2 linked regions of the Arabidopsis thaliana genome follow. The protein of the gene in region 1 interacts with the protein of each later gene in a biochemical or structural test. Each region holds a gene or a part of one and is shown in the gene's direction. Other genes may lie near its edges.

Region 1 (4,545 bases):
TCAGCACCTATGAATGTCCCTGATTGGTCCAAGGTTTATGGTGACTCAAAGAGCAACAGAAGGAGTAGCCATTTGCATTCTCATGCTGCTGACGATGATGATGAAGATGATGATGGTTGCATGGTTCCTCCACATGAATGGGTTGCAAGAAAGCTAGCAAGAACACAGATCTCTTCTTTCTCTATGTGTGAAGGAGTTGGAAGAACACTTAAAGGAAGAGATCTAAGCAAAGTGAGAAATGCTGTCTTGTCAAAAACTGGTTTCTTGGAGTAAGTAGGATAAAATATCTCATCATCATCATCACCATAATTATCATCCATGTGCATGGAATATGAATCCCATAACTCTTGTTTAACATTATCATCATGAAAAACTCAACTTTATGGTATCCACATCATCATCATTATCAATGTCATTGTCGTCATCATCATGTGGGGATCACTATACCAAGAGTCTTTTTGTTAAGTTTTTTTTTTCTTTATTGTTGTTATTATTTTTCAATGTGTTATTTAGAGTAGATAAGTATCATAGTGATGATGATGACTTGTCAGCCCCATGCATGGGTCCCGTTTTATGTTCTTCTGTTGTTTTTGGTTTCTCTTTGAAGGTTTTTTTATGATCTTAAATTAGAGCCTAGAGAGGGGCATCTCCTTTAGAACCTTTAATTGGAGTTGAGTTCTTTACCATGTTTTGGTGAAAGATTTTGTCGTTTGCTATCGACAATGTTATATATAAATTAGATATCTTTCTTTCTTTGTTAATATTAGCTATGTCCATCTTTGGCTAATTATGTATTTGGCAAATCTGCTACTAAATATCATTAATTTAGCCGATTTCATGCAAAAATAAATAAGCCCTAAAATGCTGAGTTTCCAATTCTGAAGACATTTTCAACCATATCAATCGATCAATGTCATATATTCACATATCGAAGGTGTACATATAAAGGATTGAATCCATGATTTTCCTTTGAACTCTTTTATGAATAGTTTTGAATGTTTTTTTGTTTGATTATAGTTATAAGATATTTAATAGCGGTGAGTGAACGAGACCAAAAAAAAGGTGATTAAATGTAATAAACTTTAAAACTATGGGATATCGAGAAGAAAATAATGTAACGAGAAAACATCACATTAGACTTCAATAATGCTTTTAAATATAGAAAAAGGATTGATAGTAGAAGCAAAGATTTTTATATTGGTATGATTAGTAGTAAAACAACACGGTAAAAAAAAAACAGTAGGCGAACCAAATAGTTAGATTTTGATTGGTAATCTCGTATGGTTGCAGTATTTTACCGTTCTAAACTTCTAATTATTACTAGTGACGAAAACGTTGAAAAACGAGATTTTTAAAAAAAAGTTGTAACTATTTTTTTTAACAAAAAAAAGTTGTAACTATTTTGGTATTGTTTATTGTTTTTTTTATATACCTAAAACCTCTAACCTTGTTTTTTACCAGTCTTACTTTTGACATAAATAAAAATAGTGGTTAGAAATAGTTTTCAGTTCTGCTGCTTTCTTACCCTTTTTATGTCTTTATGATTGGTAATTTGGTATCAATCGGAACAAACTAAAATTGTTAATTGTAGTCCTTAGTCCTAATAGTTCGGTTATCCATTCGGTTTCAGTTTGTATCTATTCGGTTTCAACTTTTTCGGTTCTAAAGTTTAGTATTCATTTGGTTATTTTGAAAGTTTGATTCGTATCGGTTTTTTCAGTTTTAAAATTTAATATCCATTCTATTATTTTGCTTTGAATATTTTTGGATATTTCGGTTATTTTGGATATTTTCGATCATTTTTGAATATTTTCGGTTATTTTTTCGAGTATTTTTACTATTTTATATATCTTTTCAATTATTTTTAATTATGTAGTCTAAAAATAAATAATATTTAGTATCCATTTAGTTTTGGTTCTTTCGGTTCTTTCATTTATAGAATTTAGTATCCATTCGAATATTTTCCAATTTTTGGTTTGCTTTGATTTAATTAGTTTTGCTTTGATTTTGATTCGGTATATTCGAGTTGGTTTATTTGTCCACGCCTAGTAGTCCTGATCATGTAAATGACAGAAAAGCCCAAACGAGATCCAAACCTATAAAGGCCCAATAAATAGTTCACAAACTCATGACCACTACAATCCAACGACGTCGTATCATCTCGCTGACGTAAGATAAGCATCGTAACTAATTAAAATCCAAGTAATAAGTTTGGGTGCCGTGCAGGTAACAATCACTAAACCCTAAATCCATCCTCTCTGTTTCCTTTATATATATTCTCTCCTTTTTTCATTTTTTTGATCCTCTTCTTCTTCTACAATCAAAATTCATTTTTTTTTCCTCTGATCATCATCGAACCCTAGTTTCGTCTTTTGGGTACGTTTGATTTCGCCTCTCCACTTTGTCAATTTCGAGTTTTTGTGGTTTGGGTTTTTTTCCCGATTTAGCCTAACAGATAAAGTTTCGAGTTTTGTTTCTCTTAATCATCGTAGATACTAACCGAATCATCATGGAGAAGAACTCCTTCAAGCTTTCTAATCCTCTGGGTTAGTTTCCTTGTTTCTTCTTTTTTACTTTTTGCAATTTCTGTAGGGTTTTTGCTTGATTGATGTCACTCGATAAGCGTTTAAAGGATAGTTGTTTACTTCTTTGGTTTTCTTCGATCTTTTGGGCTTTGGATTGTGTTACGATTATGATCTTTGTTAAAGGAACTCAAGTTTTGATTAGCCTGATCACGAGTTTGTTGGTTCTGATTCTCGATCTCTGATATTGGTTACTCTGTTTGTATTCTCCATTGATTTACATTAACACGATTAAGTTATTAGACCTAGTTTGTTGTTGAATCTATAAAGATTTAGTACTTGTGCCTCTGGAATTTTCCTGGAAGTTACTTGAATTACATGTCACTAAGATGTGTTCATGTGTTTGTATAATCCGTTAGTTGTGACTGATTTTTTATGGTTTTGTTTTGGTTTCAGAGATGAGAATGGCTGAGTCTACTCGTATCAGAGCGAAATACCCTGAAAGAGTTCCCGTATGTTTTCTAAACTCTCACTTTACGGAACAAGATTTACAGTGTCACCCTAAGTTTCTAATTAGAGAACTCAATACAGGTGATTGTGGAAAAAGCTGGACAGAGTGATGTTCCTGACATTGACAAGAAGAAGTGAGTAATTTGTTTTACATATTATCTCTATCTCTCTTGTTGGATCATAATGGTATCAAATCACAAATTAGCTTTCAATCTCCTTTGAGTCTAATGGAAATGTGATATGATCCGGTAATCCTTTTAATCACTAGCTGATGAAATTTTGAGTCTAACTATAGTTCTCATTCTTCAAAACTTGTCCCTTGGTACAGTTTAGCAGTTTCTAGATACAGAGATTGAATTGCATAGCATTATTTTTTGCTGGTTTTGATGTTTTTTGCTGACACCTGTTTCTTCTCTTTAGGTATCTTGTACCAGCTGATCTAACCATTGGCCAATTTGTGTACGTTGTGAGGAAAAGAATCAAGCTTGGAGCTGAAAAAGCCATCTTTGTCTTTGTCAAGAACACATTACCACCAACTGGTAAAGGATTTTAACACTTTTTAAACCTTGTGTGAATCTTCTACTTCTATGGTTCATGTATAAATATGGTTTCTCTCTTTTCTGGTTCTTACAAACAGCGGCATTGATGTCTGCAATCTACGAAGAACACAAAGACGAAGACGGGTTTCTCTACATGACATACAGTGGAGAGAACACATTTGGTGGATCTTTCTACTGCTAATTACCTCAGCTTCTACGTCTGATCCTCTTGATGATTGTACATTCTCGTCGACCTTAATAATGTCATTTTACTTTCTTGGTTTAACCTTTTGAGCTCTCTTACTATCTCTTGCATTTGAAGATGGTATTTGAAACAAGATTCTAATTTGACTCTCTAGTTTCTTTGTTTTGTTTCCTCTGCATCTTCTCTATTGCCATTGAATAAAATAACCTCTATAGTAATATCATCATCAACGTTGATAAGTTCGTCTGATCAATTTACTAATTAGCTAAATTGTCTAAACCGAAGAAAAATCCTAAAATTGAATTAACCGAAAAAAACCAAACCAAACCAAGCACAAACCAAAAATTGAATTGGAAAATTCGAGACTTATATTATTCTCTTGGTTCTACGGACATGGACCGAGTATAGCTTCTGATCTTGCGACTGTTGCTGTCTCCGCCGCGAATCGTTCTCCTACCTTCGTCAACTACACCGGCAAGGTACGAAGCTTTTGTTATACTCTAATTAGATTTGTGGTATCTTCGTGAACCTTCAATTCAATTTAGGGTTTCTCAATTCGATTACAAAGATTCGTACTTGATTTGTTTTCGAATTGCTGGACGAGTTTGTCTTATTGGGAAATGATTTTAGTAAATCGTTGAAGAGAAATCAGGAAAGTTGAATACTTTCTCTCTTAAAGTTTTGAGCTTTTTGGATTGTAAAATTGGACTAATGGAGAATTCAATTCTGTGTTAGAGTTGTTATCATGAAGAAAGGTTTGATGCGATGG
Region 2 (5,876 bases), about 10 Mb from region 1:
AAGCCCAGTTGCAAAACCGATCTACCAATAAGGAGGTCCAGGTTGAGCAAAATCCGAATAGTATGTTCCAAAAGAACACAGGGCAGGGTCGACGGTTTGGAAGAGGGCAGGAGTCACAAGGAGGTTGGGGTTTACCGGCGCAAGAGAATATGCACCATCACCATCAGAGGCCACCTTCAAACAGAGATAGACAGAAGCAAAATCTGCATTATGAATACAAACCTGTTGGGTCTCATACTTATGATGGAGAACGTAGTCGAGAACAATCGAAAGAGAGTTCTCAGACAGAAGGTCCAAGATACAGAGAGAAGGGACAGGGGCAGCAAAGGCAGGGTGGATACCAACAGCAAAGGGGTACTAGTGGGAGAAACGGTGGTCATGGATTCACTGGTGATAGAAACTAAGATTGGCCTCTTATTGTTATTTAGGTAGTAAGAGCTGCCATGCTGAGGATACTTGCATTTTGAGATATGGCGATTGAGGAAGCTAATTCGTAGGCACATAGCTTGGGAGATTGCTGAGAGGAGACCTATCCGAGGAGGTATTGGCAGATTAAAAAAAAAAAGTCTTTGTCTTGAGAGTTTATTATTATATGTTTCAGTCACTTGTTTGAATATGATTATAACTACTGTAGTAGCCTTTTGTATACACTAGATGAATACTCATGAGTATTTTTGTTTTTAAAGTTGCTTAAAAAAATATGATTATGTTTTTTGGTTGATTTTGATGTTCATTTTGATAAATTCCTATCTATTTAATATAATTTTTTTATTTTATGATTAGATTTATCTATAACTCGAAATATCAATTCTAGTATAATATATATATTTATATCTATTATTCTAATATTTTATTGTCATGATCACATATAAAAACAATATATGATATATTGATACAATGTATGCGTTTTGAAACTTGTCTAAATTAATTGTACAAACAATTATTTATTCCATATATTCTCTTGTCATCAACTACACAATCACATCATGATATGCTAGTAATTCAAGTCACACTTTAATTCTTTTCACTTGCATATAGCCATATAGAATCTCATATTTTTTTTTTTGTATGTCGAATGTCGAATGTCTCAAATGACTATTATATTATAAAATTGTATATCAATGTTACTAAGTTATTAGAACGCACCAAAATGTACAGAAAAAGTTCATATGATAAATTATATTCACAAAACGTAATAATAAGAAAATATCTAATTAAATTTACTAAATTTATATGAGGTTAGGTAGCAAACATAAGAGTTTTAAGAGTTTGGATTTTGGAATTGGTGGTGTTTGTTTCTCAAACTTCATAAATTAGAGTTTAAAATGTTTTTTTATTTTTTGTGGTCGGCATAAGAGTTGAAGTTTTAATAAAATAAAATAGTATCTGATCATTTTATTGGAGAAAACATAAAAGATGTAGTATTTTATAAGAACTCGAATTGGTCAATTTTCAAAATGTTAGTATGAAAAATAAAATATCTAGTTATATGTACTCGTATCTCTTGATATTTTTGGCTTTAACTTAGGGATGTTAGTTTGATTTGTCTTTCTGGATAAGCCAGTAGTAACCAAAAAAGTCAAAATCTTGTTGGCTAAGTCAGAAATTAATTAAATAAACAAAAGGGCCCATTAAATTAATTATTTTAATAAATATTCTGTGTAATGATATATAGTATAAAACGCGACCGTCTAAATTCTTGGTTGTTTACGAGAAAAGCGGATTACGGGTACGCTTCTTCTAAGATAAATCTCTCCCCGATTCTCTCTTTTTCTCGCTAGATACTCTTTTTCTTCAATTAGGGTTTCTTCTCGCTTGCCTTTTAATTCTCTCCAGCTGATCTGATCTCCGTTACCGATGGAGTCTACTGCTAACGCACTCGTCGTCAAGGTTAGAGATACAACCTTCCTTTCTTTATTTGCGAATCGTCAGTTTTCTCACAGTAATTGTCGGTGATTCTGGGTTTTCGTGGCGATCGTCTCGTTTCTGTTGATTTTGTTGCTTGTAATCGGTCCTTTCCTTTTGAATTTCGCTATGGATCGACTCTCTCTCTCTCTGTCTCTGTATTATAATCTTAAGTGTAATTCGAAAATTTTCCAGACATACTTAGCAGTATCTGCTTGAATCTTATACCCGAACAATGATTAAAACTATAAGTTATCGTAATTAGAATCGTAATCTATTTCTTCGACAATTTTTTTTCATTTTTTTCATTGAAGTGATACTAATTTTGTTTGTGATTATGTAGGTGAGCTATGGAGGTGTGCTTAGGCGTTTCAGGGTGCCTGTTAAAGCTAATGGACAGCTTGATCTTGAAATGGCTGGTCTTAAGGAAAAGATCGCTGCTCTCTTTAACCTCTCTGCGGATGCTGAATTGAGTCTGACTTACTCTGATGAGGATGGGGATGTGGTTGCCCTTGTTGATGACAACGATCTCTTTGATGTTACTAATCAGCGTCTTAAGTTCTTAAAGATCAATGTGAACGCTGGCGTGTCCACTAACTCTGCTGCTCCAGAGAGTAGTGGGAGTTCCACACCTGCGGGTATGCCTAACCCGGTTTCCAAAATCCAGAAGGGTATAAATGATGTTCTGATGGCTGTACCTAACCCGATGCGTGATACCATATCAAAGGTGTACATGGACCTTGCATCCAAGGCCTCAACTTCTAGTCCTGTAGTTGGTGAGATGCTTGATTGCATTTCCAAGCTAGGGCAGCTCTCAATTCCTCAGGAAAGTAGTCCTTGCTCACCTGTTACCAAGCCTGGTTCTTCAGGTGCTTCCCTGAGCAGGGATGTTCCTTCCGCTGGTGGAAAGAAGGATATCTCTGAGAGGACCCAGACCGGAAGGAAACCTGTTAATCTGAATGAACCCACTGGCGCTCATTCAAAGACTTCTGGTCATGTACCAAACTCGTCTGGACTGGGTGCTAATTTCAACGAGTGTCCCTTTAGTGGCAGTACCATGAATTACTCCTGTCCAAATCCAGTTAACCTCAACAAGCATCCTCGTCGTGTTTGTCATTCCAAAAAGAGCACCAATGGTGATTACTGGACTTCATTGGGTGTATTCCATAAGGGCATCCGTTGTGACGGATGTGGAGTTCTTCCAATTACTGGGCCTAGATTTAAGTCGAAAGTGTAAGGATGCCTTCTACTTACTACTTTAGAAACTATAAACATGCTAGAACTTATTGTGCTTATATGTTTCGCTTGTGAATATTGTGCAGTAAAGAAGACTATGATCTGTGCACCATCTGCTATTCGGTGATGGGTAACGAGGGGGATTACACAAGAATGGATAAGCCTGTATCCGTTCAACATCTGCATCCTTTTAGAGGACCGTTTACCCAAGTATTGCTCTTCTTCTAAGTTTATAATTACTTTTCTTCTTGTTTATTCTATGTGTCTTCTCTGATAGCTATGAGGAATTCTTACCCTTTTTTTTTTGGTATAGTTTCCTAATCCTTGGTTGAGCCACCCTGTGCCACGAGCAACCAATGGAGGTGCACCTCTCAGGTGTACTCGCCCTAAACTAGACAGTCGGTTTGTCCTTGATGTGAATGTAATTGATGGAACCGTTGTTGCTCCATCCGCCCCATTTACTAAGATTTGGAAAATGAGGAACAGTGGTTCGCTGGTGTGGCCACAGGGCACACAGATTGTCTGGATCGGTGGGGACAGGTTCTGCAACTCCTTGTCAGTTGATTTACAGGTTAGAAACAATTTCCTTAGTTTTCACTCTTTTAGCTCGATTCTTACCACTAACAGAGCAATTATGTTGTTTGAATTTACACTCGATGGCTTGAGTTAGGTTGTTTTCTTCACGAAGTGACTATAGCTGCTTGATTATATAATACTAACTGTTTTTTTCTCTCTTTACACATGGCAGATTCCAAAGGAGGGTGTGCCTATCTATAGTGAACTTGACGTCAAAGTTGATTTTGTTGCACCAGAGTTACCTGGTCGATACATTTCTTATTGGAGGATGGCTACCTCTGACGGTGCTAAGTTTGGGCAACGTGTTTGGGTGTTGATACATGTACTTACTAGATTTGTGCAGCTTCTGTCCTTTAATTCTTTGTCTCTTTCTATCATATGTGTTTGATACATTTTTTCTTTTTGCATGGTTAGGTTGATGCATCTCTGAAGAATTCTGTTGTGAATGAGTTTCATGGACTGAACCTTAATGCCTCCCCCTCCCTTGATGAGAATTTTCCAAGCGAATTTCTAGGGATTATGAATTATGAGTCAGCTCAACCTGGCAGCTCCAGTGTCAATCCTGGGACCGTGAAAGGTACTGATCTAGAGGGCGAAGTTGGTGAAACACAGGCCGTGGAAAAAGAAAACCTTTTGGTTGGTGAAGCTCATCCTGCTATCCCTCACGGTCATTCTCCTTCATCTTCATCTTCTTCATTTAACATGGTCGACTTCCCAAGCATGCCTGCTGTTGAGGTCTTGTCTGGTGGTTCTTCATCTACTACAAAAGACGTGCCAGTTCCTCTTCAGGAGGATATAGAAAAGAATGACGTGGAGATAACCATGCTCAAGGAGCTCGAGGAAATGGGTTTCAAGGAGATAGATTTGAACAAGGAGATCTTGAGGGATAACGAGTACAACCTGGAGCAGTCTGTTGATGCTCTTTGTGGAGTTAGCGAGTGGGATCCAATCCTAGAGGAGCTTCAGGAGATGGTAAGTGTGTCTGCACTTGGTGAATTTATTAAATCTTACTTTGCAGATTGGAATGTTGAAAATATTGTGATTTTGCAGGGCTTCTGTGATGATGTGACGAACAAGAGACTGCTGAAGAAGAACAATGGAAGCATCAAAGGCGTGGTAATGGATCTCCTCACAGGGGAGAAGGAGGCTTGATGAGCTCTTTGGTTTCTGGCAACTCTTCTCTATCTCTCTTATCTATCAGGAATAATTATGTTTTATAAATAAAACCTGATCTCTTAGTTTGGTTTCGTGCTGCGTCACATGGTCTGTTCCTTTGCTTTGTGTTGGGATGATGTTACTATGTTAACTCTATCTAAGACATGGATGGTTTCTTTCTTATTTCAGTTTAGTTTATGTCGTTCTGCTCCTCGGGTCAAATGAATGGTTGAGTCTTTTTTATTGATTTCATCACTTTAGGCCTTTTTGGTCTCCATTTCTCAGCTGTATTTGGCTTAATGTGAGTTTGTGAGAAGAGCTTTCCTTGAAACAACGTACTGTTTTAATTCACATTTACCCTCTCATCTCTCTCAATCAGGTGACATTTTCACGTGGTCGAATCATCGGCATGGCAGTTGCAATTAGTCATGGTGGTCGGCTTCATTAAACTGTTTACAACTGACAAAACTTTGTTATTCTATCCATAGAAACCATTCAAAAACCAATAAAAGTTTTTGAATAGACCAATAAAAGACATTCATAATTGATTTCACTTTTTGAGAAAAATTTACAAGTTTGAAGTAGTAACATGATGAGTTTGTTAGAATCTCTTTGAAGACGAACGAGTGAACAAACTCCTAAGGCTGTTTCTGCTGTCTCTAGTTTTCTTCTTCTTCATCTTCTTGAGGCCATCATTATCTGAAGAAGAGAAGGTTTGTTCTTCTAAAGTGAGTTCGCGTTCCAGTTTCTTAGAGACCGAAAGAATCTCGTAGGGATCCCACAGCGACTGTCCGAATTCCCAATCCAAAAACGACGGATGATGCTTTGCGGACAAGGCTTCCGTTTTGAAACGTGATGCCTTCCCTTTGACAAAAGCATGCTTTCTCTGCGCATCGAACTCTAAAACAGTATGTTTTGAGGTTTGGGAGTGGCTGAGCCAAGCCTGCGCAGCTGCCTTCATCAACTCTAGTCTCTTCTTCTTCTCCTCTTCTTCTTCTTCATTT

The links. The genes of interacting proteins can lie anywhere in the genome.
Region 2: the proteins of ATG8B (region 1) and NBR1 form a complex in vitro, tested with the Arabidopsis thaliana proteins (one study listed by BioGRID).

The regions. Positions count from the first base shown.
Region 1 is NC_003075.7:2,327,891-2,332,435, reverse strand, and holds ATG8B (Ubiquitin-like superfamily protein), read left to right. Parts: upstream 1-1,845; 5' UTR 1,846-2,376; exon of another isoform or gene 2,377-2,492; 5' UTR 2,493-2,509; coding exon 2,510-2,546; intron 2,547-2,978; coding exon 2,979-3,034; intron 3,035-3,113; coding exon 3,114-3,166; intron 3,167-3,452; coding exon 3,453-3,571; intron 3,572-3,669; coding exon 3,670-3,773; 3' UTR 3,774-3,994; downstream 3,995-4,545. Other genes in the region: AT4G04630 (senescence regulator (Protein of unknown function, DUF584)), read left to right, coding at 1-273; AT4G04614 (uncharacterized protein), read left to right, coding at 4,522-4,545. UniProt on the Arabidopsis thaliana protein: Ubiquitin-like modifier involved in autophagosomes formation. May mediate the delivery of the autophagosomes to the vacuole via the microtubule cytoskeleton.
Region 2 is NC_003075.7:12,739,334-12,745,209, forward strand, and holds NBR1 (ubiquitin-associated (UBA)/TS-N domain-containing protein / octicosapeptide/Phox/Bemp1 (PB1) domain-containing protein), read left to right. Parts: upstream 1-1,698; 5' UTR 1,699-1,857; coding exon 1,858-1,890; intron 1,891-2,248; coding exon 2,249-3,138; intron 3,139-3,227; coding exon 3,228-3,351; intron 3,352-3,454; coding exon 3,455-3,712; intron 3,713-3,889; coding exon 3,890-4,039; intron 4,040-4,131; coding exon 4,132-4,689; intron 4,690-4,767; coding exon 4,768-4,869; 3' UTR 4,870-5,337; downstream 5,338-5,876. Other genes in the region: MOS1 (modifier of snc1), read left to right, coding at 1-404; AT4G24700 (uncharacterized protein), read right to left, coding at 5,474-5,876. UniProt on the Arabidopsis thaliana protein: Autophagic substrate degraded in the vacuole by non-selective autophagy. Requires ATG8 protein expression to be recognized as an autophagic substrate. Acts probably as a receptor for autophagosomal degradation of ubiquitinated proteins.